Linked DNA regions of Rattus norvegicus. The protein of the gene in region 2 purifies or fractionates together with the protein of the main gene of each other region. This does not show direct contact. Links are inferred from orthologs where the notes say so. Each region holds a gene or a part of one and is shown on either strand. Other genes may lie near its edges. The genes, in order: Cstf2t and Cstf3.

Region 1 (16,790 bases), on a different chromosome or scaffold from region 2:
ATTAAACTGCCGAGATAGAGTTATCAATCCTTTTATAGGGAGGATGGAAGCGTTTGGGGCTTTACAAAGGTATACTCAACTTCAAGAAATCATATGTTACATACACAGGGTGTGTTTTCTGAAGATCATAAATTATGAAGTAAGCACTTCTTTTGAAAATCTTTTATGAATATGGGTGCTTTACCTTTGAGTTTGGGATTACGGATGTTCGTCAGCTACAGTTACTTTTGGAATCCATACTCCACAGAGATTTTACTAATGCTGCTGCACCAGTAAGCGAATTGACTGAAACTCTGTATCTGGTAATTGGCGCTGCTCTGAAACCCACCCTGCTCCTGTCCTGGGCCTCCTTATGACTCCACAGATAAGGGACATTAATTCTTGGCACTTCAGTTGATCTCTCCTGAGCAGTAGAGTTGGGGCAGAGTTCTGCTTCACCCCAGAGCCCCCCCCCCCCCTTTGCTGTACTGAACTAAGGGGTAAACCTGGTTTGTCATTGGGAGAAATCCTGGCACTCTAGTTCTCCCCCAGAGAACTGAAACAGCAATTCACTGAGGAGAGAAAGCAGAGAGAGGTCGATCTTCAGCACAAAAGAGTCAATATAAGTGTGCAAATAAACAAGGTGTGAAGGAGGGCAATATACACACAACTACATACATATTCACATACATGTACAGATTTGCATATACAAACAAATACATACACACATACTTATACATAAAGAGACATGCATACAGACATGCATGCATGTGTGCATGCAAACACACACACACACACACACACAATTGGGAGAGGAGGATGGAACAGAGTTTTATGAAATCCAGAAAAAAACCCAGTTCCTTCTTTTCTTGGAGATATCAACATCAATGGCTACTATGCCCTTCTCTGTAAGGCTCTCCAGTTTCACATTGGAAGACCTAATGACTCCTGTGACTGTGTCTCATGTTAGGGCTTAGCAATATGTGAGACTAACTGAGCCCATAAGCACCAAGAGTGATCTAATCTGGTGAATATCCTCATGAGAAGGCAGATGCTCTAAGGCTCTGTCTACACAGAAGCAAGGCCAGGTGAGGGCACAGAGTGAGGGCAGCCACAGGAGAAAGCCCGGCTGCCAGCATTTTCATATTATGCAAGCAAATGTTTCTCTTTGAGCCAACCAATTTATGGCATTTTATTACAGCATCCCTACCAGACTGGTCTCTGCGTTATGACAGGTCACAAGCGAGCATTAAAGTAACCCCCAATGTCACCCCTCTCTGTAGTTGCAGTTGGTCTCTGGATCAGCACCACAGAGCACTAGCTATGACATTCTCATATACACTGCATTTTACATTTTAACCAAATTTCTAACTCTCAGGAGTCTAGTGGAATATGACAAATTTAGACTGGCACTCCTGAAGTAATGTTTTTTGGAGAGCATTCAACTGTGATAAGGAGTCCAAAATATGTCCTGCCACGCTGTCGTTTTATTGGTGATGTTTTAAATCCTGACCCCCAACTAAATGCTTCAGAAAGGCCACTTTCCCATAACTCGGGGTCATGATAGGTTCATTCTTAGGTTCCCGGAGCCCCAGAGGTAAAATACAATCCCATTTATGAAGAGAATAGTTTAGACACTTCTTTGAAGTTGGATCTTTGACTATTCTGCTCACAGAAAAGAATAAAAGCTAAAAGGATCCATGAACGGCTCCTCTTAAACACGTTATCTTCATTCAGCTCCAAACTCGGGCTTGAAGTTTTCCATTCTTATGAGGCTAGTTGCTTTCTCTGTGTTCCCTCAGGTGACAGCTCAAAGCGAGAGTGGCAGAGTTTCTCTCCTTGTCCAATTCGTTCCCATGGTTGAATATCTGCGCTCGTCTGGCAGCGCCTTCTCCTAAGCAACCATCTTAACAGCAGCTTGAACACGACCCCGCACTCAGATAGGTGCTAGACCAAGGCAGTGTTAGCGGAGTCTGCACATTCCATTGTGTAAACGTTTGCACAAGCCATTGGGTAAAGATGATAATTATAGCTAACCAAATATCTGAAGAGAACATCTCATGGTTCACTAAAAGAACTTCATAAACACCACTATGATCAGTAAACCGCTCCCTGAAGAATCCTATGGGATTGAGCCTGAAAATGATTTACGCTCAGCTACAGATGTGCATAGTTGAACAATGTTGCCCATCTTAGAGTTGTCTCTATACAAGTTTAAAATAATAGAATCTAACGACAGACCATTGTCTCTTCAAATCCAGCCCTCTCAGTGACACGAATAAGGCATATCTCAAAATAACATTAGAGTAAGTGAGGTTTGAGCCTCTTTCCACTTAAAAGTCTGCTTTGCATATTACCGTTATATACAAATGCAGAGTGATAATACAGTATGAAAATGATAAAATACAGGTTATGTCTTCAACACAACAATCCAATACAGGTAATAGCATTCTCGCTTGAAAGATGACAAAGCAGAAGTAACGAGAATTAATTTGTCCAAGATGTATGAGTTCTTGTCAACCTAATTCTAAGATTAAAGACTGAAATCTAAACCCCTTCATCCTACTCCCTGAGAACATTGTCTGCTTGGCATAGACTGAAGACCTAGACACAATTACAGATGATGTCAGCAAGCTGGCAGTTAATTCTGGTCCAGGACCTTGTTGTCCTTGTGTTACATGTTCTTAGCCTGTCAATAATAGACTGGTAATTGACTAGACAACATTTGGCTCCATTTAACTTGTAGTCGTGCAGTGGTGTACTTTCAGAGCCTCAGATTTACATAATAGTTCTCTTGCCAACAACAGTGAATCATAAGTGGAATTTACTATTTACTTCCCTCTATGTTCTTTTCATATTAAATGTATTACAAATGTGGGGGAAATATGGCCTCAGAAAGGCCTAATTTGGGATCTGAGAAACCCAGGCTCTTTTATGGAAATGAATTCATAACCTGTGTGACTTGCATGCTTTTAAAAAGCCTTATTTGAGGTTTTATATTGGTCCTATCAATTGAAAAAAAAAGAAAAGAAAACATCTTTCTCAACTGATTCAGTCTTTATATGGTCAGCCCATCAGTTGCCATAGCACTGATTGTCATGTCGAAATTGCAATTAGTAACACTCAGAGCTAATCAGGAAAAAGGCCAATGGAGGCTGTGTCCAGGCCTCGGTAACCCATGACTACTAGGCTAATTGAGCAATAGGAAGCTTAATTTCAAGAGACCTGGTTTCAGGCTGCAGCTTTGCCTCTTACTCTGCATATATGGGCCATTTCTTGACTAGAATGTTCATTTTCAAACTTGATTTCTTGATTGAGGAGTCCCGTGGAACAGTTGCCTGTCCTAGTTAAGACAAACTCATTAACATCACTATGCCTAATTCCAGTTAGCTGTAGCGCAGGACGCTATGGCTGCCTAACTCAAAGACACTTCTAACACATGGCCACCAAACACATACTGTTGCTTTTAGTAGAAAAAGACATTGAGGTGAGCATTGAAGAACAAGAAGTTAAATGTGACGAAATGAATATAAAAACTGGGAAAAGAAGGTGTTATGAATACATGGACAAGGGGGTAGAAAAACAAAGATTGCATGCCATGAAAAATAAGGTGCCCAGGTCAGCCAGAGAAAAGTGCACAAAGTGATGGAGGATGGGTAGTAAACCTGGAGCTACACTGTAGAGGATGCTAAAGGTTGAAAGGCCAGATGCCACACTTAGGTGAAAAGGACTGAAGAGCTTAGCTGGAAGCAATCGAGGTGTGATTGGCTTAAAAAGAAGCCTCCTGACTTTACAACCACAACTGTTCCCCTTGGTCCTGGGAAAGCTGATGCCCCAGTGTAGGGGAATGCGGGGGTGGGTGTGGGGGGTGGGAGGATGGAATGGGGGCTTTCCTGAGGGGAAATCTGAAAAGGGGATTTGAATGTAGATAAAGAAAACAACCAACAAAAAAATGAAAAAAAAACCTGTTTTCATGAATTTAATTTTTAGAACTGTTATACTATGTCCCATCACATGATCACCAGGCACCTTCGCTTCTAGGTCATACAAAACACCAAGTCCCAATGTCACATCTTGGCCAAGTGCAGCTGCTGTCTGAATCGCTTCTGTTCTGTTTGTCTACAGTCGATTGTGAACCGTCCCTCAATACCATTTCCACCAGGAAGCCTCCTTTAGGAATATAGATCTCTCTGGATTACTTTATTCCATTTCTAGATACTCCACCCTGCATATCTAGTTCTTAAAAATAGTATCCTGGAGGAATTATCATCAACCTAAGAATAAGAAAATAGGTGTCCTGGCCGCAGGCTGCTACAATTTGGACTGTGCTATTTAATGTCACTGGTTTCTTTCTAGGTTAAATGGTTTGTTAATACTCAAACTCTAAAGACGTTTGAAATCATTCATTCAAGTAGTGAAGTAACAGGAACTCCCTAGATGAAGCTTCACCACCGCAGCGACTGAGGCTACATGGGTGAACAAAACAACAAAAACAAAACAAACCCAGAAATGAAAAAAACCTCATCTATACATGTTAACTACCATCTGTGTATTTATGGTATGATTCTCTCCCTGAAGTGGAATAGTTCTCCAACTATGACCTTCATTAAATCGCCTTTAGGCCTCCACAAACAGATATCTGTGTTTCTTACAGGAGAGGCATGGGAAACTTTCATTTTTGAGGTGTTTTTCTTTTTACTGGTGAGGCTGATATAACAGTACACAAGACCCATGCAGAGAATTTGTTCTAACAAATTGGTTTTCACACTGCTGTACTGACAGTGTTCGGAAAGATATTTATGGAATAAGAAATAGGAGGCAGATGGTCAAGGGATGAAAAGACCTACATGTTTCCTTGAGTGATTTTGTAGATGCAAAGTCACAATTCTACTAAGAGGCAAATGAATTCATGTCCACAAAAAGGTCCAGATGACGATCCAGTTGCATCCAGAGGAAAATGGAAATATGTTCAACTAACAGGAAGGGGGAGGGACTAGAAAAATAAACTTCGTGGAGTGTTTTGGTTATTTCTTAAGAGACCAAGACAAATAAAAAAATGTCCCTGGGGCTAGAGCTGGGATTACAATTTAGTAGACGACTTGAAGTCCTCAAGTCAATTCTCAGCAGGAAGGGTAAAATGTACCAGACATTTTTCTTCTTCTTTTTTTAAAAGATGATTGTGAGCCACTATGTAGTTGCTGGGATTTGAACTCAGGACCTCTGAAAGAGCAGTTAGTGCTCTTAACTGATGAGCCATCTCTCCAGTCCCCGGCATTTTTCAAAATATCTTAAGAATATGTCTAGATTGGATCTACTTAATCCAGAGTGAATTCTTTTAAAGTGTATTTTATTTATGTTTTGAGGGTCTCGCTGAATATCCATGACTAGCCTTGGAACTAGATATGTAGATCAGGCTGTCCTGGAAGTGTCTCAAATACCGAGATTAAAGGTATGAGCCACCACATCCAGTTTATGATTTTTTTTAATTTAATGTTTTAATACATTTTATAGATTCACAAAGACTACAGCATTTACAATTTGGTATAAAATTTAATTTCTGAAAATAGCTAAAAGGAGAGGGGAGGTCTTACATGTATCTCGGGTTTGCCTGCAACTCAGTAATCCATGCTATCCTTGAGCTCAAAATGAGCCTCAGCCTGTCTTAGGCGTCCATGAGCTTGTGATTCCAGACTCATGACCACCCCTATTATAAATACCACATATTTGCCAAATCTGTCAGATTTGGGTGATTTCGGTGGTCAGTCTTTTTGGTGGAAAACATGTACATTTTTAGTTAAGGCATTTAGTTTTTAGTTTGACTGATAGGTCCCCAAAGTAATCCAGAGTAAGAGTTTAAACACCATTTCTACAAGGGACTAAGGTGACAGTATTTAACAGCGATAACTGTTAAAGTGTTGAGGGTCTCTCTGTGCCATCACTAGCCTGGGACTAGAATAGAGAGCAGGAAGTATCTCAAGTGCTGGGATTAAAGGTGAGCCACCATGCCCAGTTTGTGGTGAATGTTTTATTTAATGTTTTAATACCTTTAATCAGTCAGGTAAAGTCAAAGGCCTGTGGTGTTTGCCTCTAATCCCAGCATCCACTGGGAGAAGCAGGAGGTTTGCAAATTTGAAGACAGCTTGACCTACATGCCCAGTGAATTTCAGGCCACCCTGGCTGCCAAGGGGCACCGTGTTAAAACAACGAAACTAATTTTAGTACACCTGATATCTTAATTTATTGAATTAATTGACAACTGAATGTAAAAATGTACCATATACAGATTTCTTCAAAACATAAGCCATAGCCCTATTCTCTTAAGCCCAGCAGTTGGGAGGCAGAGGCAGGTGGATCTCTGAGTTCGAAGCCAGCCTGGTCTACAGACTAAGTTCCAGGGCTACATAGACAAACCCTGTCTCAAAAAACAAAAACAAAGCCAAGGGGCTGGAGACATGGCTCCGTGGTTAAGAGCACTGACTGCTTTTCCAGAGGTCTGGAGTTCAAATCCACATGGTAGCTCACAACCATCTGTAATGTCTCTCTGGTGTGTCTGAAGACAGTGACAGTGTACTCTAAAAAACCAAGAACAAACCAAAATATAAGCTATGATGTTTTTGGATTTTTTCCAAGTTAGAGCTATGAAAATTATGTATTGGTCATAAAAAAGGCAGTATTCAAAGTATAAAACTGGCAAGAATTTTGTTTTATACATTTCTAGTGCTTAGTCTTCAAAATTCTGAATGCATTTTATTTATACAGAGAACATTGGTTACAATGCTAAACTTTAATTGATAATGCTTGTGTTTATTCAGAATCAATGACATTTTGTCATAGGACAGTACCCTGCGCCCAATGTCTACATTGGTTTAATTGTGCTGGAATTAATTTTAAAAATAAGAAACATTAAAATTCAACTTCGAAGACGCAGAGTAGGAAGACTGCTCAGTGGGTAAAGCACTGCCCCTGTGTATCAAGTTTGATCCCAGGGTAGAAGGAGAGAACCAACTCCTGCGAGTAGCCCTTTTGATCTATATAGTCCACAACTATAAAAGTCACACACACACACACACACACACACACACACACACACACACACACACATCTAAATAAAATGTATTTGTTTTAAAAGTTCTCATTTTATGTAGCTCTGGTTGGCTTGGAACTCAATATGTAGGACAGGCTGCCTTTGAATTCAGTCTTACAGTACTATACTGGGAACCCCGTCCCCCCCCCCCCCGTCTTATTTACACACACACACACACACACACACACACACACACACACACATTATATATATAAAATATATGTACATTATATATGATATGATATACAGTTTAGCTGGGTGTGGTATTGAGTCCCAGTACTTGGAAGGCATAAGCAGAGGATCTCTGAGAGTTGGAGGCCAGCCCAAGCTCCAGGACAGTCAGGATTACATAGAGACCTTGTCAATCAATCAATCCAATCCCAACTACCTATATGTGTACGATAAAAGTTAAATGAAATCGATTCATCCATACTCTGCAGTCATACTTTTTAGTTAATTCCACTTTAGCATTTATGTCGCTTAAAATTCGTAAGAGGAGGGAGGAATGATCACAGCCTGCACACACAGAAGACACCGGGAGGATCCTGGACCTAGTAACAGTTTGAACATGCCAAAGCGTTAATTTATCTTTGCGAGAATTATTTTTTAATGTTTTTAAGATAGTTTAAGGGACAAATATCAACATTTTACCTCAAAATCTTGAATAAGATTTAAAATATTTCAAATATTCTATGCTAAACGAAATCAGCTGTGTAAACACACGTATCAGTAATTAAAACATTAAGCCTTAAATCAGCTTCCGGTTGGCGGTTTCCCGCAGGTGAAACGCAATGAAAACCGCCCCCAATGAGCCGAGACGCTGATGCTGCCCGTAACCATAGTGAAGTCCGATCGGCCATTTTTAATGAGGTCAGTTCTAATGTATCCGGCGACCGCAGGAAGGGAGAGAGGGGGGCGGAACGCGGGGGAAACTCGACCAATAGGATCATGGAAAGGAATCCCACTGTCAGTAACTAGGCGCGTAAAGCAGAGCGCACGGCCGGGGGCGGAAGGTGCAAGATAAATTAGTCCGGTCTCAGGAAGCAGTTTCTGCGGCCTAGCGGAACTATGGATTTCTAGCAGAAAGATTTCGGTCCGGAGTTTGGTGTCTGCTTCCGTTACAGAGCGGAAGTGTGGTTCACCAGAGGACGACCCTTGGACGAATTTACTCTCCGCTAAACGCTCGGCAGGAATCATGTCGAGTTTGGCGGTCAGAGACCCAGCCATGGATCGATCACTGCGTTCGGTGTTCGTGGGGAACATTCCGTATGAGGCGACGGAGGAGCAGTTAAAGGACATTTTCTCGGAGGTTGGTTCAGTTGTCAGTTTCCGTCTCGTCTACGATAGAGAGACAGGAAAGCCCAAGGGTTATGGCTTCTGCGAGTACCAAGACCAGGAGACTGCGCTTAGTGCCATGCGGAACCTCAATGGGCGAGAATTTAGTGGGAGAGCGCTTCGGGTGGACAATGCTGCCAGTGAAAAGAACAAGGAGGAGTTAAAAAGCTTAGGCCCGGCAGCCCCCATCATTGACTCACCCTATGGGGACCCTATTGATCCAGAAGATGCTCCAGAATCGATTACTAGGGCAGTCGCCAGCCTGCCCCCAGAGCAAATGTTTGAGCTGATGAAGCAAATGAAGTTGTGTGTCCAAAACAGTCACCAGGAAGCTCGAAACATGCTACTTCAGAACCCACAATTGGCGTACGCTCTGCTGCAGGCACAAGTGGTGATGAGAATCATGGATCCAGAGATTGCACTGAAAATTTTGCATCGTAAGATCCATGTCACACCACTGATCCCAGGCAAATCACAGCCTGTCTCTGGGCCTGGCCCTGGTGGGCCTGGTGGCCCTGGTGGCCCTGGCGGCCCTGGCCCCGGCCCTGCCCCTGGCCTCTGCCCAGGACCTAACGTCATGTTGAACCAACAGAATCCTGCCCCTCAGCCTCAGCATTTACCAAGAAGACCTGTGAAGGACATTCCTCCTCTGATGCAGACCTCGATCCAGGGCGGAATTCCAGCTCCGGGGCCAATACCAGCTGCAGTTCCTGGACCTGGACCTGGTTCCTTAACCCCGGGAGGAACCATGCAGCCACAGGTTGGCATGCCAGTGGTTGGTCCAGTGCCCTTAGAGCGAGGACAGATGCAGATATCAGATCCTAGACCTCCAATGCCTCGTGGACCCATGCCTTCTGGTGGCATCCCTCCTCGAGGACTACTGGGAGATGCTCCAAATGACCCGCGTGGAGGAACTTTGCTCTCAGTGACTGGAGAAGTAGAGCCCAGAGGCTATATGGGACCACCCCATCAGGGTCCTCCAATGCATCATGGTCATGACAACCGTGGCCCTGCCTCACATGATATGAGAGGAGGACCGTTGGCAGCAGATCCCAGAATGCTGATTGGAGAACCCAGAGGTCCCATGATGGATCAAAGAGGTCTACCTATGGATGGTAGAGGAGGAAGAGACTCTCGAGGGATGGAGGCCCGGCCCATGGAAACGGAGGTCTTGGAGCCACGAGGAATGGAGAGAAGAATGGAGACCTGTGCAATGGAAACCAGAGGGATGGAAGCAAGAGGCATAGACGCAAGAGGACTGGAGATGAGGGGCCCTGGCCCTAGTTCCCGAGGTCCGATGACTGGTGGGATCCAGGGTCCTGGCCCCATTAATATGGGGGCAGGTGGCCCTCAGGGACCTCGACAGGTTCCAAACATTGCAGGAGTGGGAAATCCTGGAGGTGCCATGCAGGGGGCAGGTATACAAGGAGCAGGAATGCAGGGGGCAGGTATGCAGGGAGGAGGGATGCAGGGGGCAGGCATGCAGGGAGGAGGGATGCAGGGGGCAGGCATGCAGGGAGGAGGGATGCAGGGGGCTGGCATGCAAGGAGCCAGTAAGCAAGGTGCGGGCCAGCCTAGTAGTTTTAGCCCGGGGCAAAGCCAGGTAACTCCTCAAGATCAAGAAAAAGCAGCTTTGATCATGCAGGTTCTTCAGCTGACTGCAGATCAGATTGCCATGCTGCCTCCTGAGCAAAGGCAGAGCATTTTGATTTTAAAGGAACAAATCCAGAAATCTACGGGTGCTTCTTGAAAGGTTTTCAGCTAAGAAGTACTTAGTTATTCCTTCAGGGTTTACTCTGTGGCATGAAGTGGGTGCAAAAAGCTGTCTTCTGTGTTCGCACACTTTAACCATTTAAGGTTTCCTTCTCCCCAGACCTTAAATCTTATTTCTAGTTTTGTTACTTTCTGTTTTCCTTTTTATTTTTTGATTGAGGGGAGGGGGTGGAGGGGGGGGGCCTGTTTACTTTGTCACTGTTGACTCTACTGGGTACCCTAAAAATGACTACATCATACAAAATAAGGTTATGAGGAAAATGCGGCAATAATTTGCACTTTTGTTAACTGTGTTTTAAAAATACTGAGTAAACTGGGAACTACATAAAAATTGAAAGTGGCTTGTTACAGTATTGATATACTAAGATAGTTTAAAGTTCTTTGGTTGTATATTGAACTGAATGTCAGAATGTTAAGGTACACTTTTTGGTAAAAGAAATTACTATATTTTGGAGGCAGCAGAGTACTGTAGTAAGGTTAATGTTTAGTTATTTTGGAATTATTTTGAAATATTGGAGCTAACAGTTTGTGGTGTAGATGTGTGTTTTTTTAAAGCATTGTTATCTGTAAAAAGATAATTTTCATTTATCTGACTTTTTTTTTTTTGAGACCATTAATATTCTTGCCTGATCCCAACTGGTAATTTTGCAGGATAGTTGTAGTGTCAGCTGAATTACATAAAACCTCCTTCTTATACATTTCTCTAAAAAATTCTTAAGGCCCAAGTCTGGTTGTAAGTAGTTTTTTCACATCCTTTTAAAGAATCAGACATGAGGTTTGACTTTCTTGAGTAATGGAGGTTTTTGGGGTTTTTTTGTTTTTGTTTTTCAGTAAAGCTCCCAAGTTCTTGATAACCTACTATCCATTCACAGATGGAATCCATTAGGTCAGCAAGAACCAGAAGTTAAAATCTTACTCTATGCCTTTTGATATGTCTTACAGTTTGATAACTTTCACAAACTACTTTTCTATCATCACCTTGCTAGAACTGGGGCCCAAGTGAACTGACAACTCTGCTCAGTTAACTTAATATGTTATTTCTCACAACTCACAAAAGCTCTTTGGTCATAACGTAGTTCCCATGAAGTGTGTTTGAGAATAAGGAATGTGGAACTTAATCCATTTCTTTTAGAGCTACTGTATCATTTTCAATCAATGTGGCACCTGGACACGGTGTCATATTTAGATAATGAGCAGAAACAAGCACAAGCTCCCACTTGACCAAGTGGCATTCCTCTGTGGAAAAATAAATACCCACCTACAGAGGGATGAGCAGCCTTAGGGAGGGAGCTGACCCAAGGTTGTTTTCCCTTGCAAAGTTTGAGCATTTTTGAGTGTACAGAGTTTTCATTCCTAGGCTATTTTCCAGCCATTTAGTTTTTGTGCTAGTGTTAGACTCCTGTGGTTTCCTCTGCCTCCTATGCTGAGGTGGGTTTGTGGTCTGTACCTTTGTGCTAGTTCTGACTAATTCCAATTGCTTGCTTCTTTCGAGACTGCAGTTGCTAGCCCAAAACTTCTTACAGTCTTTGTTATAAGAAAATCTCTGCATTGTTTCATGAAAATTAAATAAAAAGGTTATATAATTAAGGTATTTTGTACGTTTTATTTAATACATTGGGAAATAACTTTTTACGAGATACATGCATGCATACATCTGTAGAAAAAAGTGAAACTAGGAAACCGATGGATACCTTTAATTATTGTATATGTAGTTCAACAGTTGGAATACGAGGAAGATACTGCTAGTCCGTTGTGACACCTCCCACATCAGACATGGGTGTCCTTTGGAATACTGTGTTCAGGTTTCTTAAGCATTGACAGCATTGTACTAGAAAGGATTGTGGTCACTTTACTGGAGGGATTGTGTTTACTCAGAGCCCCAAGTTGTAATAGGAAACGGCGTGGGAAACACCTTACTCATTTGAGTGTACACTGCAGTAAAACAGATGGAAAGGAAGGGTAAAACATCCAGTTTTAGTTGGAAAAGAAATTTCATTAAGAGCAAATTTATCCTCAAAGGACTTAGATTCATCACAATACATAACAGCTCTTTGCATTAAGATACAAATTAGAAAAAAAGCACTTGTATTCTTCAAAAAAAGGACTTCAGGGTCCTCCTTGGCTATGTGAGGGGTTGTTTCTACCCAGGGCCACATTAGTCAAAATACTTTCTCATTTCTAATTAAGAACTTAATTCTGGTATTGATACAGAAAGTAAAGGGCCTTGGTTGATTTATAGGAGACTAGTTCAAACTGTATCTGGTACACGAATTTGTTCACAGTATCACTGAAGGTGACGGAATGTGACACTGATAACCAAACTTTCTTTAGGGCTTTTTACTCTCAGGCATTACATGCTTTGAGGGATTATATCATGATTGCCTGTCACTAAGTATCTTCACAATAGCCTTTTCCTTCCCCTGTTACTAATGAGTGCTGCACGGGTGTGATTTTCTAGAGCTTGTACATTGGTATGGAAGGGATACACTGATTGGCTCTGGCAAAGGTGAGCTAGTCTAAGTGAGATTGTTCCGGGACTGGAATTTTATTGGTAGAAAACATTTCTGAAAATGTGTATCCCAGCTTGCAAATCTTGGTTTTCCATGCTGTGATAGAACATTAAGAAAGCTTGCAGAACCTCATTTCCTATGGTGTGTCGGGCTTTTCTCTTAGGTCTAATGATGTCTTAGGACAATTAGGAGCAGCCACCTACTGTGATAGGGAAACTGAATTTGCGGTCACATCTGAGTCCTCACAGAGAATGTTAGCCCCTGCATTATTTCCCTAGCTAATCTAAACAGACTTCTTCAGTTGAAACGTGTTACTCTCATCGGGGTATTAATCACAAACGGCAAGAAGTGATTTCTATTGAGGAAATCATTAATATATTAAAGCTATGTCCGTAAGTGATATTTAAGTATACATTCTTGATGTATAGTATTTTTAAATACTTATTTTAGATCTAGCAATAAGATCTTGTTATTCTTTTGTGTATATGTAAACACTCTGAAGTGCTTACTGGCTTGAAACTCTTTGAGACAAGTTCACACTATCAAAAAGTAAAAAAAAAAAAAAAAAAAAAACCAGTAAAAACCATACATTGTAAGTAGTAGGGTAAGAGAACCCAAGTAGTTACCAACTGCATAGGGAAATATTTCTTTATAACTGACTTGACTTAAGGCCTAAAGGTGGGTAATTCAATAGGTGGTATAAAATACACTAACTCTGATTATAAATACTTTAATGATTCAGTATGTATAAAATTTATATGCATTTGGAATGAACTTCAGACTATCCAAAAATTGATTTTTTTTTCCTTCCTAAATCTGCTAGGTTAGTGATTTGTGGTCTGCCTCAGTAGAATGAATAATACTGTAGACATAGAGAAATGAAAACTGTTTCTTTCTAACCATGGTGTCTCTCTTAATTAGCTGTTTTAACCAGAATTCTGTCATTACATGAAAAATCTATAAAAGCGTACGGACCATTTTACGCACACATCTGACCACAAACCTCACCTTACTGCCTGCAGTTAGTGTGAAGCAACTTAGACCAATTTTAGAATCCATTTACAAGCTTCTTGTGGGCATTAATAAGGTTTCAAATTAATCTTCCTCAGAAAAAAATTAATTGGCAATAACTCAGTTTTCAACTCCCTTCGTCTTAAGCATTAGCTGTAATAGAACTTGAAATGTGTATCAATTTAAAAAATAGCACGCCTGAGTTAATGTAATGGGACTTTATCGGCCTTGCATAGGGTATTAACATTTATAAAATAATACTTTATATCATAGGTAACATTCTCACGTTAGATCAATATAATAGCATCCAGCATGACTAAAATATTGATAGGTAGAAACAAAATTAATTGCCCATTAGAATTTACCTCATTGCTTTAAGCCGATACCTAACATGATTAACTTTTTAGTCAGTGATGAGAGAAAAGGGGCTCCATCCCGTCTTCTTGTCAGCAACAGAGAAAAATGTGCTAGTGAAACACCTGGGATAGTTACTGAGTTTATTACCAAAACTTTGTCTTTCAAAACCTTCAGGCACAAACTATTGAATTGGTAGCCTGTCGGCCAATTGAACCTGCACACAGGTTTTGCTCAAAACATGTTATTTTGAACGTGTATGTTTTTCCAGTCTTGTGACAGATTCAACCTCTTCCTTGAGTTACAAGGAGTTACAAGGCTGCCAATCGATCCCTGTAATACTTGGGACTTAACAACTGTATTCTTTAGTGGAAATACATGGCTATTAGGGTCCATTAGATTCATTAGTGTCTAATTTGACCTGTATGAAATAAGAACTTGTTTGGCAGGTAGGTGGCTTATCAAGGTTATTCCTGTAAACACAACCAACAAAATAGCCCAAAACAAACCAAAATGATCGCAAAGGCTAAAAATTGTCAATATTATAGATTTTCTATATTAGCCAAAGAAATCCCCACAAGGCCTGCCCAATAATACATACTGTTCTCACAAACCTTTTGAACCTTTAATAAATATTTACCCCAAATACCTATATCTTTTTTAAAAAAATATTTTTTACGTGTGTGTGTGTGTGTGTGTGTGTGTGTGTGTGTGTGTGTGTGTACATATGGAAATCAGGACAATCTGCGGGAGCTGTTTCTCTTCTACCGTGTGGAACCCAGGGATCAAACTCAGGCAGTCAGCCTTGGTGGCTAGTGGCTTTACCCAGTGAGCCATGTCACTGGCCCACTTCCTTTCTTTTGATTTGTCAAGCGTAGTTACCTTCTCTGAACTTAAGTATTTGCTGGGGTTGAGCTGCATTCTTCCATCCTTTACAGAGCAGATTGATCTGTGTATACAGGACACTTGATGACTGCCATTCATGAGGTACTCATTATTCCCCTGTTACAGTTATATCAACTGTGTTGCCCCCAAATGCCTATTTTATTTATTACTATAATATGCAGATGTGAACGTGGGCTGTAGTGGTACACACCTTTAATCTCAACATTGGGGAGGCAGAGACAGGCAGATCTGTGGGTTCAAGATGTTATATAGTCCTTAGTCTAGGTAAATAATGTATACGTAAACTATGCTGCAAAAACACATGATTATTTCTAAATCCATATGTGGGGGCTGGAGGGATGGCTCAGTGGTTAAGAGCACTGACTGCTCTTCCAGAGGTCCTGAGTTCAATTCCCAGCAACCACATGGTGGCTCAACAACCATCTGCAATGGGATTCGATGCCCTCTTCTGATGCATCTGAAGACAGCTACAGTGTACTCATAAATAAATAAGTTTTAGAAAAAGCAATCTGTATGTGTGTATGTATCACACATCAACTGTGTCTATTACATCAGTTGTGTTTTACTGTAAGTTCATACCTACTTGTGCTATTGATAATATCGATAAGACACAGGTATGTTGAATAAGTTTTGACCTAAAAGGTTATTTCTATGAAAACTTACAAAAGATTTTATAAAATTGGGCTAAAAATAAATGTTAAATTCCTCCAGGGGCGAGATCACTTTTTAATTACTTTAGCAGAGCGAGATAGCACATGCCTTTAATCCTAGCACTCTGGAGGCAGGGGTGGGCAGATGGATCTGTGGGTTGGAGGCCAGCTTGGTCTACACAGAGAGGTTTGGGAGGACAGTCAGAGCTACATAGTAAGGCCCCCGTCTCAAAACAAAACAAACCAACACACACACACACACACACACACACACACACACACACACACACACACACACACATTATTTGGGTAGGTAGTTGAATCTGTCTATCTGTCCCTCATTTCAATTGAAAGCAATTTTGAATTTTTAACAAATCATGTGAAACCTTCAGTTTTCTCAGGAAGTTTTCAGTTAATGAAAGGGAAAACCCCCTCAGGAAATTTTAGGGTTGGTATTAATCACCAGCCCTCCCTCTCCACAGGGATTACTCAGGAAAGACAGCAGCTTGTCACCTTTCTGGCCCTCCTCCCTCCTGCTATCCCTGGGGTTAAATGCTTCAGCAAATGGGATGTGTTTTAATCTCTCCCTCCTTTAAGTGGTCCTTGGATGGGCAGCCTGGGTATCACCTGGGGGCATGTTGGAAATGAAGAATCTTGCCTTTCATCTCAGATCTGCTGAGTCAGAATCTACATTTTAATAAAGTCTCTGGGGGGACCTATAGCTAAAAGTTTCCTAGGCAAAACACTGCCTAAAAGTAATTCTAAAATAATAAAACAAAGTACCATAAAGACTACTATTAGGAGAAATAGGTTTTAATTTACCCAGTAACACAGAAAATCAGATTAGGAGGGGAAAATCCCTCCCCTGTCAGAGGACTATGTAGAGGGGACATTTCAGCTAGAAACTATATTTGAACAAGTAAGCACATGAACAGAAACCCTGTTTGTTTATGATAATCATGTAAGCACTGGCCCTGATGAAAAACCCAACATAAAATCCACAGCTGACGTTGTTTCAGGAAGACACTTGCGTGTATTGAGCCAATGTATGTGACCCTTTCATTTTTCTCCTGAGCAGAGGGGAAGTTATATAAAAATTATGGAAATAATACATTTATATTTTATTATATATTATCACCTGAAACATTGTACATGAAAAGTTGTGATGGCCATGTTGTGCCTCCTCGG
Region 2 (16,082 bases):
GGACATTAAAGTTCTTTCCTGAGTTGGGAACACACACACACACACACACACACACACACACACACGATTATTATCTTCCTACTTGAGGTAAATAAAAGGCATCAGAAGGAGATAAACTCTGTGGAAAAGGGACCTTGACAGACCTTTATAATGTTTCGTGTATGTGGCTTCATTGTTTTGCTTAGTGGGATAAATTATGTTTCAGAAGATATTCTTCATTTAATGTATGAATAAAACTATATTCCAAAATCTAATATATAATATTGACTCACTGCAGCCAAACTACACACATCACTGTCTTGTTTGCTTTGTTTGGTTTGATTTTTCTCTGAGACAGGATTTCTCTGTCTTGGCTGTCCCTGGAACTCACTCTGTGCACCAGGCTGGCCTTCAACTCAGAGATCTGCCTGCCTCTGCCTCTAGACTGGGATTAAAGGCTTGTCCACTACCGCCTGGCAGTACAAACCACTGTTTTAATGTTCTCAGATTACGTAAGTGCCACAGGCACCCAAAGTAAGATCCTGGGTATCAATAAAGTACCAGGAACAGAATCCTGCCGAACCCTCACACTGGAAGACATGTTTGTGAATGAGTGAGCTGGTGAGGATTAGGGAGAATGCCCAACTGTCTAGGTGGGTGAGCCTGGAAGTGAATACGCTGGCTGTGCCACTATACCATGTCATTCTCTCAGTCAAAGCCATACAGTGGGGATGTAACACAGAAAACCAGCTTTCAGTATAAAAGAGCCTCTGTATTTCACTAGTGAAATAAATTTCAGAATGCTAATATACGAAGTTCTAGAAATATAGAAAAAGTAGAAAAAATATATAAAATATATAAAATAAAAATGTAAGCTTAAGCAAGTATGAAAATATTGCAAGTAGGTAAAATGAGAAAAGAAATTTCTCTGAAACTCACACTCAAGCATCCATTACATATCAGCGATCACACACCCTGCATGACTTAGCCAGACTCACACTCAAGCACCCCTCACATGTCAGCGGTCATACATCAGAGCTCACACATCACAGTCATACATCCACATGGCTTACCCGGACTTCTCGGGAGGAAGGCTTCCAGACGTCAAGACTCTTTCAAACAGAACTCGGGTGTTATTGTCCTCTAGGGTATTTTAGAAAGTTTAAATGTTAAATCAAAGAAAGCTTTACAGTTCAATAATTATTTTTTAAGTGCAAAGCAGAACAAAGTCCCAAGCTTTATCTCAGTTAATCCCACAAAAATCTAATGCAGAAAAATGACTTTGTCATAAATGATTTTTACAGATAAGGAAATTTGCAGGTTCAAAATCACTGAGTTTGCCAGACTTTATTTAATCCCACAAGTCAGAAAGCAGAGACAGATCTCTGTGAGTTCTAGGCCAGCCTGGTCTACATTTTGAGTTCAGGCTAGCCAGAGGTACACAGACCCCTGTTTCAGACAAGCAAACAAACAAACAAGCACTCCCCGCCTGACTGGCTTGGCTCATTGTTACCAGAAGCCAGGTCTTTTGACCTTCAACTGAGGCCTGGTTTATACACAGTACAATGCAAATTGCAGTGAGGACTGAACCAGATGTCTTATTTTTGCCTTTCAAAACTAATAAGAAATACTATCTTAGATTTTTAAGTATTAGGAGTTCATTTGTAAGTGAAAGCAGGAATTTTCTTGGTAATTCAAGGGATCTTTAAAAAGAACTTAAGAATATAGCAATAATAATTGAACTGATCAGTTAAAATGAGTAGAATCATGATATCTAAATTATAGCACAAAATTTTGTTTAAATCCTTCATCATGACTGGTTTTTATTTTATTAACACAGACATTCAATTTACTATCTGTGCATATGCAAGATAACTCATAAGAGATTAAAGATTAAATGAATTTAGCCAAACAAGATGGCATCAAGACAGATGCACTACATTAAATGACTTGATATATTTTTACATTTTAATTTAACTTATTTTTATGTTGTGTCTGAGTGTTTCTCCTGCATTTGTGTCTGTGCACTACTTGCATTCAATCCCTGTGGGGGTCAGAAGAGGGTGTTGGGTCCCCTGACACTGGAGTTGTGAGCCACAATGTGGGTGCTGAGACTCAAGTCTGGGTCCCTTAGAAGAGCAGCCAGGGCTCTTACCTGCTGAGCCATCTTCCCAGCCCCATATTTAAAAACTGTTATTAAATATTACCTTTATCTTTGCTTTAGCGCAGCTTTGCTCTAAACACCCCTTTTACTCTATCTCACAGAGTCTCCTCCCTGATCAATGCTCACCATGTTCTCTAGCTAAAAGGACGTTTTCCTTCCTCTCTATCTGGCTCATGTTTCCTGTGAATCCTTAGGCTAGCACAGCCACACAGTGGGATGCAGCAGAATGGCATTTAGAACCCTGCTAGCCATTCTGAGAGGGTAAAATTAATCTTAAGGATAGCCAAGCACATCCTAACTGTCTTTTCAACATGTAAACAATATGAAAATCACAACAATATTTCACGTTATTTACTTTTGTTAGAATTAAATCTCTGGAATCTGGCATTTATGCTGGTTAGCACAGGCACACTCATTTTGCTCGATGACTAATAGTCTAGATGCTCCGAAGCCTCAGAACAGCTCTGGAGCTTTCCCATTCACCTCCACCATTAGACACAATTACTGCTGCCCATATATACATTATATATACCCATGTATACATCAAATGCATGCAAAAGCCCAACTTGATTTTCTCAGTCTTACGAAGGGTATAACCTCACTGCCAGTGGTAGAACTACAGTTAAGTTTACACACCAATCTCATGTACAAGTAAGTGCAAGTTTTCTTAAAACAACTTTCATACGAGATTGTTTTATTTTTTAGATTTATTTTCTGTCTATGGCTGCTCCGCCTGCATAAATGTATATGTACATGTACATGCCTTCTGGATCCCCTAGAACTGGAGTTAGGAATACCCACGAGCTACCATGTGGTTGCTGAAAATCAAACCTGTGCCCTTGCAAGAGCAAACAATGTTCTTTTTTTTTTTTGGTTCTTTTTTTCGGAGCTGGGGACCGAACCCAGGGCCTTGCGCTTCCTAGGTAAGCGCTCTACCACTGAGCTAAATCCCCAGCCCCCAAACAATGTTCTTAACTACTGGGTCACTTCTCCAGGTCTCCCAGTTGCCCCCCCCCCATTTATATATCCTGAACTATCAATACTAATAATAATCTTATGGAGACACACATGAATGGGTACTTACCTAGCATGAAAATGGTTATATTACTATTACTCCAGCAGAGTGGGAAAATAAAGGTGTCAGTGAACACGCTTCTTTTAAAACTTCGCCCCATAACCTCACAAGTAGTTTTGGGTTTGGGGGTTACAGACTTCTAACCCATCTACTGTTACATTACTAGCTGGAGAGGTTTTAAATATCTATTTACCCCTAGGAGACAAGAGATGAGTTGCACAGAGTGGCCAGAGAACAACACAGACAGCTCTGTCTCCTGACGGACACTGCAGCTTCACCAGTTGTGGTAGCTCTTTCCTGATTCAAACCACTCTGGATAGTCAAACAATCTACCATCATTCAGGAAGCATGAATACATGGTCGGTAGGACTGGTGACAGCTTGGTTGGTAGAATGCTTGCTGTGATGGCTTCTGTGGGTTGGTACCTTGACTACATCTGGAATTAACTAAAAGCCAAGTGGCTGGGTATACCTGTGAGAAATTTTTTTCTTTTAACCCAGAGCTATGAGGTAGGGCTGTCCATCTTTAATTTGGACCACACCTTATGGCGGCAGCCTATATAACGACATGGAAGAGGCCATCACTCTTTGCCAGCCTGGTCTCGGTTTTACTGGATAGTCCTTTCCTTTACTGGCATTAGAGCCTATTTCTTCAGGCTTCTGGCACATACTGAGGAGCAGCTGAGACATCCAGCCTCATGAACTTAAGAACTATTGGATTCTTGGACTTCCCTTGGTAGACAGCCATTGTTGGAGAAGGGGACCATAGCCTGTAAATCATTCTAATAAACCCTACACACACACATAAACACATACATGTATGTTTGATTCCCAGCACCCGCATGGCAGCTGACAGCTGACTGTAACTTCAGTTCTAGAAGATTCTATACCTTCTTCTGGCCTCCAAGGGCAACGAAAACATTAGTACATAGACATAACATACAGGTAAAAGACCAGTAAGTGGCTCTTACACAAACACACACACACACACACACACACACACACACACACACACACACACAAACCATGACAGATATTCTGGAATTCTGGAATCAACTTACCATTGAGGTGAGAGAGATAGTCAATATAAGCCAAAACATACTCTGGAATATCTCCATATTTCTTTAGTCCCAATTCAAAAATCTTAAAGGCAACAGATTTGTCCTAGAAGTAAAGACAGTACTGGTTTCTTTGAAATGCCAGACAATGTATGCAAAAGAATCTTTAGACTACAGAATATAATAGGCATGGTGGTGCACACCTATAATCCCAGCAGTGGAGACTAGGAGGCGGGAGGATTGTCACAAATTCAAGGTCATTTTAGCTTACATAGCAAGACACCTTTTCAAAATAAAAACCAAACAAATAAAAAACAATAAATATTCTCACAACCTCTAAATATGACAAAGCACAGAAGAATTAAAATGGGTGAGCTAAATAAAAAACAACCGAGGGGTTAAGTTCGGAATATGAGTTTTATGCTTATACTTCATGGCCAGCCTAGGGAATGAAACAAGAACCTGTCCTTTTAAAGTGAGAAGGCGCTGGGCATAGCTTGGAGGTAGAACTTGCCCAGACTGCTCAAAGCCCTCAGTCAACCCCAGCACCACCATAAACAAAACAAAACAGCCAAGTAGCCAATGTCAACACCTGTCTAAGACATTTACCACAGTTGCTTGTGGTGGTTCACTGCCTGTAGTCCTAGACCTGGGTACTAAAAGCTGGAAGATGGAAAGTGTGAGACCAGACTGAGAAACTTAGTGACATGTGCTTCAGAACAAAACAAAACCCAGTGAACAAACAGGAACAGCCAAGGGGTGACCTGCAGTCGGTCACTCAGCGGTGAGCACTTGCTCATCAAGTTCCAACCCTGAACACTGCCCTCCAACACCCTGAGAAAATATGAGAGCTTATCTAGGATGCAGGAGGCCCTGGGTTCAATCAGCTACAGGAGATGACCAATCAATCAAAAAAGAAAAAAGAAATATGAGCTTAATAAGGCATAAATAAGCAAGCAATTGAGTTGAATAATGTTCAATATAATTTTATGTAGATAAGCTTAAGACCTTTACAAAATGGAGCAATTGATTACTTAAAGTAGAAGGGGAGGGTAAGGAGATTTACTATGTAAATCGCTGGCAGAGAATTCACACTGACATGTGCCTGCCTCTGCCTACAGTGCTGGGATCAATGACCTCATCCTCATGTAAGCAGTGCTCACCTTACTGCAGTAATACTCCATGAGCGCTGCGGTCACATAGACGTGATGACGGGTTCTCGCATCCTCTCTTGCCTTTTTAAATATCATTCTTCCAGATTTGATACCTTCTGCTCTCCTTGCAAATTTCATATATTGGATATATACCTATGAGAAAATAAAATATTTGTATTATATAAATTGGAATATACTCTTCACAGTATCTAGTACCAAGGCACTGAGTTGTAGGCCAATGTTTCTAGTATAAGAAACTACAGAGTACAGTTATAAGCTACTTTCCCCTAGGTGTTAGGGACACGTGCTAATTTTTATTGTGACATAATTTACATAACACAAAATTGTTCTAAAGGGTATAATGCAGTGATTTTTTTCTTCTTTTTATTATCATCAGAAGGTCATACAATAATCACCACTAATCCTTTTTTGTATTTTATAAGATAAAGCTTTTTTGTGTAGCCTTGCCGGTTCAGAACCTGGAATTCCCTCTGTAGACTCCGATAACTATATATTCAAAGATGACCTTGAACTCCTGCTCCTTCTGTCTCCACTTCCCAAACACTGAGATTACAAGTGTGAGCCACAATGCCCAGCAGTGTTTTATTTAGAGGGCCCCAGGATCTAATAAGATATCAGAACAAAGACTCTTGTATGTAACAATTAAATGTTTGCTATGTTAGGTCAGATAATGGTGGTGGGAAAGAGTTAGGTTACTCACCAAGGTGGGGTCAATGTCCTCAATTGCCAGCAGTCTGTTATATATACTGTGAACTTTCTCGTACTTCATGCGACTCTAAAGTGGCAGAGAAGTGAACATAGTATATACTCACAAACGAGCAAATCTGAGCTTTAAGGAACCTGAAGACTGCACTCCTATTCATAGCACACACAATGGCACCAACACTTCACATAAACTCATATGAACTCGAGGACTAACAACTGTTTGTTGTTACCATCTCTGGCTACAAAAACAAAGATGCTACCAGAAAAAAGTTTTAGTCCTGGAGTAAAATTGTAAGCAGTAGATATGAGTATTCACCAAGTTTAGGAAGAGCCGTGAGTGTGAGGGCTATACACACAGACACTGACAGAGACAGACAGCCAGCCAGCCAGGCAGACAGACAGACAGACACACACACGCACGCATGCACGCACGCACACACACACACACACACACACAGAGTTCCGAGTCTGCTGACTCTTCTCACCTCTTCATAATCTGCATATGCAAAGTAAAGGAGCATGTTCTTCTTTAATAAAGTGCTGATGGCTCGTTCATATATATTAGCAGCTTCATCACTAAATAATTTGGCATTGTTCATATCCTAGGAGGAAAAGGATCCTCAGTAAGGTATAAGTAGCTGAAAGGGTAAAGATGGGGCAGCGTGCACTCTAAGACGCACGTGCTGTGAAAACAAATGCGCACTGGTGTTAAGGACTTCTCCGTGTGCTGGGCAGAGGGGAGTCTCTAGGGCTTGAGCCAGGGCCTCTACTGCCCAGCTGCACCCCAGCTCCCATACTTAAGTCAGTTACCATTTAGTGCTTCAAACAACAGTCACTTTGACACAGTTTTAAAAGCCATATTTTAATTCTAAGGAATTATGAGTGTTACTAAAGTTCATCCTGATATAAGTTTAAATATTTCCTTTTCTTTTTTGTTTTTTCCAGACAGGGTTTCTCTGTGTATCCCTGATTATCTTGGTACTGACTCTAGAGCAGACTGCTCTTGAACTCAGAGATCCACAGGCCTCTGCATCCCAAGGGCTGGGGTTAAAGGCGAGTGCCAGCACTTGGCAAGCTTAGATTGTCAACATATACTTCTTATATATAAACTTTTTGGGTTGGGGATTTAGCTCAGTGGTAGAGTGCTTGCCTAGCAAGTGCAAGGCCCTGGGTTCGGTCCCCAGCTCCGAAAAAAAGAAAAGAAAAGAAAAAAAAACTTTTTAATATATTTTGCATATAAAATAATGAGTTTTATTATGGTATTTTCACCCATGTCTACCGCTGTACTTTCCTTATACTCTACCCAACCTTGTCTAGCCTCTCCTCCTACCTCCCAAATAGTTCCCCTCTGAATTTAATGTTACACATGTATGTATTTAAGCATAGACTATATTACACTTTATTACTAAAATTGATGTTACATTTTGTCAGTTACTCTTACTGCTATATCAAAGTCACAAAAGGAAAGAGAGGAATGGGAGGGATACGCACCCCCTTTTCTGCGAGCAGCTTACTCGACTGTTCCAGATACTGGGCAGCTTCATACCAGATATCAGGGTGATGGCCCAGCACAAGTAGGCACTGTTCATAGGCAAACATAACTAGGGAAGACAAACACACATTGCCATCATAATCACCTCAGCTGCATCATTAGACTCAGGCATGGTCTTTAACGATGAGGGATAGTTGGTTCCAACATTTAAGAAGGACATAGTCTACGCAGAGGACAGCCATTATCAAAGTCCTCTGACCACCACCACCACACACACACACACACACACACACACACACACACACACACACACACCCCTATAGGAGACAAACACAGGAAGAAAGCAAGCCTGAGTGACTTCACTAAGTGACTGTTATCTGAAGACCAGAGGGGCAGAAGCTGGTCAATGGAACAACAAAGGGAAGAGTGTATACAAATCAGCAGAGGTTGCCAAAAATGTGACTCGGTGGTACAATTCTTGTTTGGCGTGCAGGTGGTTCTGGCTTTAATTTCCAAGCCTCCAAAATAGATGTAGGCAAAGAAACAGTACTGCCATTAATTAGGTGAACCTGCAAAGTTGAAGAATTCAGTGAGGTGCCAATCCAGCAGTAACAGTGATTTGTACAAAACTAACCCTTCTGGGTGGGTGACGGTGGTGCACACCTTTTATCCCAGCACTTGGGAGGCAGAGGTAGATGGATTTTGGTGAGTTTGAGGCCAGCCTTGACTACAAAGTGAGTTCAGGACAGCTAGGGATGTTAAAAAAGAGAAACTCTGTCTTGAAAAACAAGAAATAAAAAATAAAGCAAAACAAAAACAATGACAACAGAAAAAAACCAAAAAGACTAGCTCTTCTGAGATTATAAACTGAAAACAGAAAGCATCTCTTTGACAGAGCATCTGCTTAGCTTAGCATATACATACATGCTAAATTCCTGGCACTTCTCTATCTTCACCCATGTGTCTATATGTATGTGTCTTCATATACATATATTATGTAATAAAACTGAAGGCAAGCCCCCCAAAAAACCCAAGCCACAACAACAAAAGCAATAACAGCAGCAAAAACAACAGAAACACACACACACACACACACACACACACACACACACACACACACACACACACACCCAGTATTAAGCGCATTGCAGAATGAAGCAGGAGTCAGAGCAGACTGGGCCATGGGCAAAGGTGAAGTTCATATCATACAAAGTCCAAACAGATGATAATTCAACTTCCTTTAAAAAAAGCCCTCAGTATTCTTCAAAGAAGACAACAGAATCTAGTCTTTATTATTCAAACATTCATAAAATGTTTAAAGAAAAAAATTATATGGGTAACAAAACATGAAAAAGTAACCAACAGTTAAAAGTCAAAGGAAACCAAGCTCATGATGGCCCACTGTCTGAAGGGATGATCCAATGAGGACTCTACTGCAATAATCCTACTCAAGGATCTAAAGACACATATAGAGGCTGAAGAGAAGGCGCAGAGAGTAAGAGCGCTTGTTTTTGCAGACAACCTGGGTTCGATTCTCAACACCCACATAGCAGCTCATAACTATCTGTAACTCCAATTCCAGAGCATTCAATGGCCTCTTTGGGTCTCTTAGAATACCAGGCCTATAAGTGATATAAAGACATTCCCTTGGTCAAAACATCCATATATATATATATATATATATATATATATATATATATATATATATATTTAAACATACATACACGCATACAGTTAAAAATTAAAATTAAAAAGCAAAACAAAACAAACACACATTGTGACATATGAATCTCAATAGAGAAATTAAAATTATAAAAATTTCCTGGAAATTCATAGAACTAAAAAGTACAGTATATAAAATGAACAATTTGCTGGATTATTTTAACATCAGATTGAAGATAATAAAATAAGGGGAAACTGATCATGAAGATGGATCTATAGAAATGATTATGAATAAAAAAAAAACACAAGTAGAAAAACAAAAAGTTCAGAAAACAAACAAACAAAAGCAACAACAACAAAACCAACCCCCAGCCTCGTGGTAGTGCATTCCTGTGACCCAGGAAGCTAATACGGAGGTTAATGAGTTGGAGGTCATTGGGGTCTACAGTGAGCTGGAAGCCACTGACCTGTAGAGCAATAGGCAAGAGTGCGTGGGAGGAGCAGCGCCGCGCTGGGCTAATCCTGGAGGCTAGGACTGAACAGCCCCAGACACAGCAGCTGCGGTCCCGGGCTACCCGCCTCACCTCGCTTTGTTATGAGGGTCTGGTCCTCGGTACGCAGGGGGTTGCTCTTCTCCCACTGGATGTACTTCTTCCACATGTCTACTTGCTGAGCTTCTTGAGGGGTATTCTGAGGGGGCACTGAAGGGGCATTGCGGTCCAAACCTTTCATCACTGTCTCGTATTCCTAAACAAGCATTGAAAGGTTCTGATGAGCTCAGACCAACTCAGATATAAAGGGAGCTACTTGATTGGCTGGAAACACTTTGTTTAGACGTTTACTCTCTTACCCCTAATATCACTTTGTTATTGTGATTTTAGAATTCAAGGTTATCCTAAAATACACAGTGGGTTTAAGGCCAACCTGGGCTATATGAGACCCTGTCTCGAGAAACAGAAGTCAAATAACATCCACAAACAACAAAACAAAACACAAGAGTAAGAAAAGGCATAATAGAATATCACAAAACAAATCCAGACGCCTAGGAGTGGTGCACAGAATACTCACAGACTATCTCTGCAGGCAGTGTATGAGGGCCTCTCTGCAGGAAGGGTGATGTAGAAGATAGCACGAGTGAGATTTGGTAGCGTTGTTATTGACAACGTGGCAGAAACTAGTAGCTTTTGTATTATTGGGCTATTTCCCCAATGAATAGAAAGGTATGTATACAGCACAAAATCTGTCCCACAGAGCTATGGTATTTTATAAGTGCACTGACTGCAGAGTAACACAATTTTCAGATAAGCAAAGATGAAGGGAAAGTATCAACTACTTCAATAATTCTATGCAAATCTCTGTTTTGAAAAATATTTTTAGCCAAGCATGATGGCTCATGCCTATAATTCTAACACTTGGGAAGCTGCTGACACAGGAAGAGCATTGTGAATTCAAGGGGAGCCTGGGCTACATCAAGGCAGTCAGCACTACATAGCAAGACTCTGTTACAAAACCAACCAAACAAACAAACAAAATACTTTTTGGACTGGGGATGTGACTCAGTAGTAAAACTTTTCCTAATGTATGGGAATCCTTAGGTTAGATAATGCCCAGTACACACACACACACACACACACACACACACACACACACACACACAATTTTTTCCAAGTCCAACAAATAGTTTGCCATTTAATATAACTTAAATAACTATTTTAATTTAACTATATCATTTTGCCAGGCAAATTGATCTGTATGAGTGTGAGGCCATTCTGGTTTGTTTTATGAGTTCCAGGACAGACATTGTTACATAAAAAGATCCTGTCCTCAATAAAACGAATCAAAACCAAAAATCATCAACTCAGACAAATATCAATTAGCTATAATTAGCTGTCATTAATTAAGACTCAAATGATTTAAAATATCAAGAGTAATACCAGATGGGACAGCTTTGCTAATTATTTTAATAATTCAGTAACATTAAATTAAGTAGCCCATAGAATTTCATACCTTTGCTACACGTCTAGCATTCATGTAGTCTCTACTTCGATCTTCAATCATCTTTTTAGCTAAATGAATATTGATACCCTAAGGAAAAAATATCGTTATTAACTGTTTTTTTTCTTTTCTTTAAAATATCTCTTTACAGTTTTGCAAATCGAACCCACAGCCTCCTGGATGCTAGGCAGCCAGACAAACACTACACTGAGCCTCACGTGCAGCTGGGAAAGAATAAGTAGACTGCATGCAAGACGGCTTAGTAGGTAAAGCTCTTGTCACAAACGCCTGGTGGCTTATGATCCATCTCTAGAACCCAGGTATAAGTAGAGAGAACTGACTCCACACAGTTGTCCGGTGGCTTCTACACATCACAATGCTACATGTGTTCCTTCGCCTCTACATTAGAATCCGCTCTGTCAATCGTGAGTGGGCGATCCAATCCTATTAATAGGACACATCTTTTTTTTTTTTTTTTTTTTTTTTTTTTTTTTTTTTTTTTTTTTTTTTTTTCGGAGCTGGGGACCGAACCCAGGGCCTTGCGCTTCCTAGGTAAGCACTCTACCACTGAGCTAAATCCCCAGCCCAATAGGACACATCTTTATTTTACTTTGTGTGGATGGATGGGTGGGTGCACATACTGTAGCACATGCTGGGGATGAGAACAACTTCCGGCAGTGGCTCCTCTCCTTTTACAATGTGGGGGCTGAGTACTGAACTCAGGCCACCAGGCAGGGCAGAGAATGCCTTTACCTGTTGAGCCGTCTTACTGGACAAGGGTTTGTTTGTTTGTTTTACTTTTTTCTTTTTAAAAAAAATGTGTATTATTGTTTTGCCTGAGCTATGCCTGTGCACCAGTGCATGGCTGGTGCCCATGGAAGCCATGAAGAAGAGCTGGATTCTCTGAAACTGGAGTTACAAATGGTTGTGAGTCACAATGTGGGGTACTGGGAATTGAACCTGGGTCCTCTGTATCCAGTGCTCTCAACTGCTGAGGTAGGTATCTTTCTAGCTCCTAGCCCAGGAATTTTTATAGACATGAAATCATGAGATTCTGTCTTAATCTAGTCAAATCAGTCATTAAGCAAACAATGATAGCTGGCAACAATGTGGACAAAAGGAACAATTCCTGGTGGGGATGTAAATTAATTCAAAAGTCAACACAGATTTCTTTAAAAAGCTACATATAGACCCACTAAATGATCCAGCTATACAATTCTTGGGTAGTGATCCAAAGGACTGAAGTCATCATACCACTGATATACTTGCAAATTAATGTTTATTGTAGTACTATTTAAAAAAATAAATTCTTTATTGGAATAAATATAAAACAACATGTCTAGGAATATATAGTTCAATAGTAGGTCATTTCCCTCATATGCATAAAGCTCAGTGTTTAATTCATGGTGCAACAAAACAAAAGCCAGTAGCAGCAACAGACACTGGGCAACACTAATATTCAGGCACTTGACACTAGAAGCTAGATTCCCTACGTTTACAATAGATAATAATTAAAATGGCCAGCTTGTAGTAAACTCTGGCTTATTTTACCTCTTCATACTTGTTGTAGTCTCTCCAGAGTTGTTCAATGTTGATCATTGGATTAACACAACCTCGTTGATAAACTCTTCGGACAGCAGTTATTCTCTGATTTTCTGCATAAGATCCTACAGCTTCCCTGAAGTTAAATAAAAAGTATCATTAATTGTATTATAGCTAAATCAATTGTTTATATAATAAAAATTAAGACAATACTTACACGCCTTTTAAGAAATTGATGTAATCCACCCAAATCTAAGAAATAAAAAAAAATGTTAATATGTTTTTTGATATTTTTTCATATTTAGGAGTATACCCAGAGTCTCATGCATGCTGGGTAAGTACACTACCACTGAACTATATACCCAGCCCTTGTGTATATATTTAATTGAACTCTACCTGATAGGACATAATTTCCATTCCAATTTTATCCAGTGCAAAGTCATAAGCTTGAGCCATTTTTTCTCTGAAAGGAACATGAAAAATAATTTTAAAAATTTGTTATTAGTTAGGTTTATGGCCCATACCTGTTATCCCAAGAAGCTGAGGCAGGGTCACTACCCTGAGTTAGAGGCCATTCTGGGTTATATAGTAAGTTCAAGGCTAGCCTAGGATATCTAGTATATACCCCATACTACTCTGATACAAAGCAAGACCCTGTTTGAAAAGAAATCAGAAGCTAATCAAAACCTAAAACTACTATCAAACATGTCAGAGAACATCCACTGAGAGAGTATCTGAAGATAGGAATGTCACAGTGCGGAGTTCACTACTAAGTAGCTGCCTTAGACATCCTAAGTGGACATTGTACCATATAATTGATGAGCATGTGCTAAGACAATCATTAAAAAGCTTCTCGAAAAAGTTTGACAAGCCTGTCAAAAAAGTACTATCATGTTGTAAATACACAGTGTTTTAATACAGAAAAATTTGGTTGAGTCAGTTCTCAAGTGTAAGATTAGTGCCTGTGGCTTTATTTAAACCACTTTTCCTGATTTCTTGGAGAATTCTGACTTTTCAAATACTTAGGTTTCTTCTTACCTATAGCTCAGAGCTGGTGTGAGACATGTGGGAATGATTGTGTCTAGAGACCACATGCATCAATACCAGCCACGGCCCAGGGTTTCTCTGTGTAGCCCTGGCCGTCTTGGCACTCAATCTGTAGACTAGGCTGGCCTCAATCTCAGAGGTATACCTGTCTCTCTGTTTCCTCAGTGCTAGGATTATAGGTGGGTACCACTACACCTAGCTCAATATGCATTCTTTTATTAAAAAAAAAGATTTATTTATTTATTATATATAAGTGCACTGTAGCTGTCTTCAGACACAACAGGAGAGGGCATCAGATCTCATTACAGATGGTTGTGAGCCACCATGTGGTTGCTAGGATTTGAACTTGGGACCTCTGGAAGAGCAGTCAGTGCTCTTAACCACTGAGCCATCTCTCCAGCCCTCAATATGCATTCTTAATACCATGATTTCACTTACTTGTAACTTGGCAGTTTACCCTTGGTTTCTCTGACGTATGAAAGATAACACTTCCATAAATCAATGTGCAAAACCTTCATAAGGCATCTTTGAAATAGCTTTAAATATAAGAAAATAGTATCAGCGTCCAGATAAATACATTTCATATTTGCATGAATGAAACAGCATTTAAAATAGTCAGACTTTTCAGGAATTAATTTTCTTATTAATAAAAGGCATATAAGAGGGATGGAGAGGTGACTCTGTGGTTAAGAGCACTGCCTGAGGACTTTAGTTTGATTCCCAACATCTATAAGGCAGCTCACGACCATCCATTACACCAGTTCCAGCAGGTCAGATGTCTACTTCTGTGGGCACCAGGCATGCATGTGGTGCAGATTTTGAAAAGGCAAATAACAATCCTTTCAGTTTAGACAATCAAAATCATGCCCATGCATTTCACAAATATAGTCATTTCCTTTCATTTCCCCAGAACCATAAGTAAATATATAAGTGAACAAATACAATTATTTTTCTTTTGTAATGTTTTCTCAGTTCAAATTAGCATATGAAATAAATTTCATTGAGGCATGTTCATTTTTTGCCCTTATTGACCTTGTCCCTTACTTCTCCTCACCTACACTCCTACTCATTCCCTGTCTCCCAATCGCTCCCTCTGCCCTCATGGCCAGTGTATTCCATACACGTCTGGTTTATTTTGCTTAACACAGGATATCTAGTATCTAGTTTCATTCACTTTCCTGCAAATGTAATGATTCCACTCTGCATATATACTGATTTTTTTTTAATTCATTGGTTGATAGACATCTAGGCTGGCCCATTTCTTCTCTTATGAACAGTATAGCAATAAACATGGATGCATAAATACCTCTATGGTAGGAGTTAGAATCCTTTGAATATATAGCCAAGTCTGGTATACTTGGGTATATCTCTTATGAACAGTATAGCAATAAACATGGATGCATAAATACCTCTATGGTAGGAGTTAGAATCCTTTGAATATATAGCCAAGTCTGGTATACTTGGGCCACATATAGCTATTTATCTGTTTTTGAAACAGGGTCTCACTACATATCTCTGGTCGTCCAGGGACTCTCTATGTAAAACAGGTTAACCTCAAACTCAGACCCAGGTACCCCTGCCTCCCTTGTGCTGGGATTAAAAGCATATGCTACCATACACTGCTGCAGCTTATTTCTCAGGCGGGACCTCGACCTAACATAACTATGTACTAAAAACGACTTCCCAATCTCCCGTCTTCACCTCCCAAAGGCTTGGGTTATAGGTGTGCATTACAAGTCTGGTTTTTATGCAGTGATGGGGTTGAAAGGCAGAGATTAACCATGTGGTCAGCAGTTCCGGCTCCCACTGCTCAGTTTTTGAGAAACTCCCATGCTAATTTCCATAGGGCTGCACGACTTTATACCCAACTAACGGTGTTGAAGCACTTCCCTTTCCAGCGGGACTTAGTGACATCTTTTTCTTGGTTTTAGCCATTTTGACTAGAATAAATTAGAATTTCTAAGTAGCTTTAATTTATATTTCCTGAAAGCTAACGAATTTTTAAGCTTTGAAAAAGGTGAAATATTATTATAATATATAACTACTACCTGGATTCAGAAACTTATATCATTTTACCATATTTATATATCATATTGGTAATATAGAAACTTTTTTTCGGAGCTGAAGACCAAACCCAGGGCCTTGCGCTTGCTAGGCAAGTGCTCTACTACTGAGCTAAATCCCCAACC

What was found.
Region 1: the proteins of Cstf3 (region 2) and Cstf2t purify together in Homo sapiens (co-immunoprecipitation; 4 studies listed by BioGRID and IntAct, counting the BioPlex papers as one, with this or other methods). This does not show direct contact. The link is inferred for Rattus norvegicus from reciprocal best matches to the Homo sapiens genes CSTF3 and CSTF2T.

What each region holds. Positions count from the first base shown.
Region 1 is NC_086019.1:238,357,853-238,374,642, forward strand, and holds Cstf2t (cleavage stimulation factor subunit 2 tau variant), read left to right. Parts: upstream 1-8,189; 5' UTR 8,190-8,258; coding exon 8,259-10,148; 3' UTR 10,149-11,756; downstream 11,757-16,790. UniProt on the Homo sapiens protein: May play a significant role in AAUAAA-independent mRNA polyadenylation in germ cells. Directly involved in the binding to pre-mRNAs.
Region 2 is NC_086021.1:111,475,829-111,491,910, reverse strand, and holds part of Cstf3 (cleavage stimulation factor subunit 3), read right to left. Parts: intron 14,430-16,082; coding exon 14,332-14,429; intron 13,310-14,331; coding exon 13,243-13,309; intron 13,125-13,242; exon of another isoform or gene 13,099-13,124; coding exon 13,064-13,098; exon of another isoform or gene 12,983-13,063; coding exon 12,856-12,982; exon of another isoform or gene 11,575-12,855; coding exon of another isoform or gene 11,456-11,574; intron 11,395-11,455; coding exon 11,317-11,394; intron 10,057-11,316; coding exon 9,894-10,056; intron 7,757-9,893; coding exon 7,647-7,756; intron 6,758-7,646; coding exon 6,641-6,757; intron 6,226-6,640; coding exon 6,151-6,225; intron 5,583-6,150; coding exon 5,439-5,582; intron 4,382-5,438; coding exon 4,279-4,381; intron 1,123-4,278; coding exon 1,053-1,122; intron 1-1,052. UniProt on the Homo sapiens protein: One of the multiple factors required for polyadenylation and 3'-end cleavage of mammalian pre-mRNAs.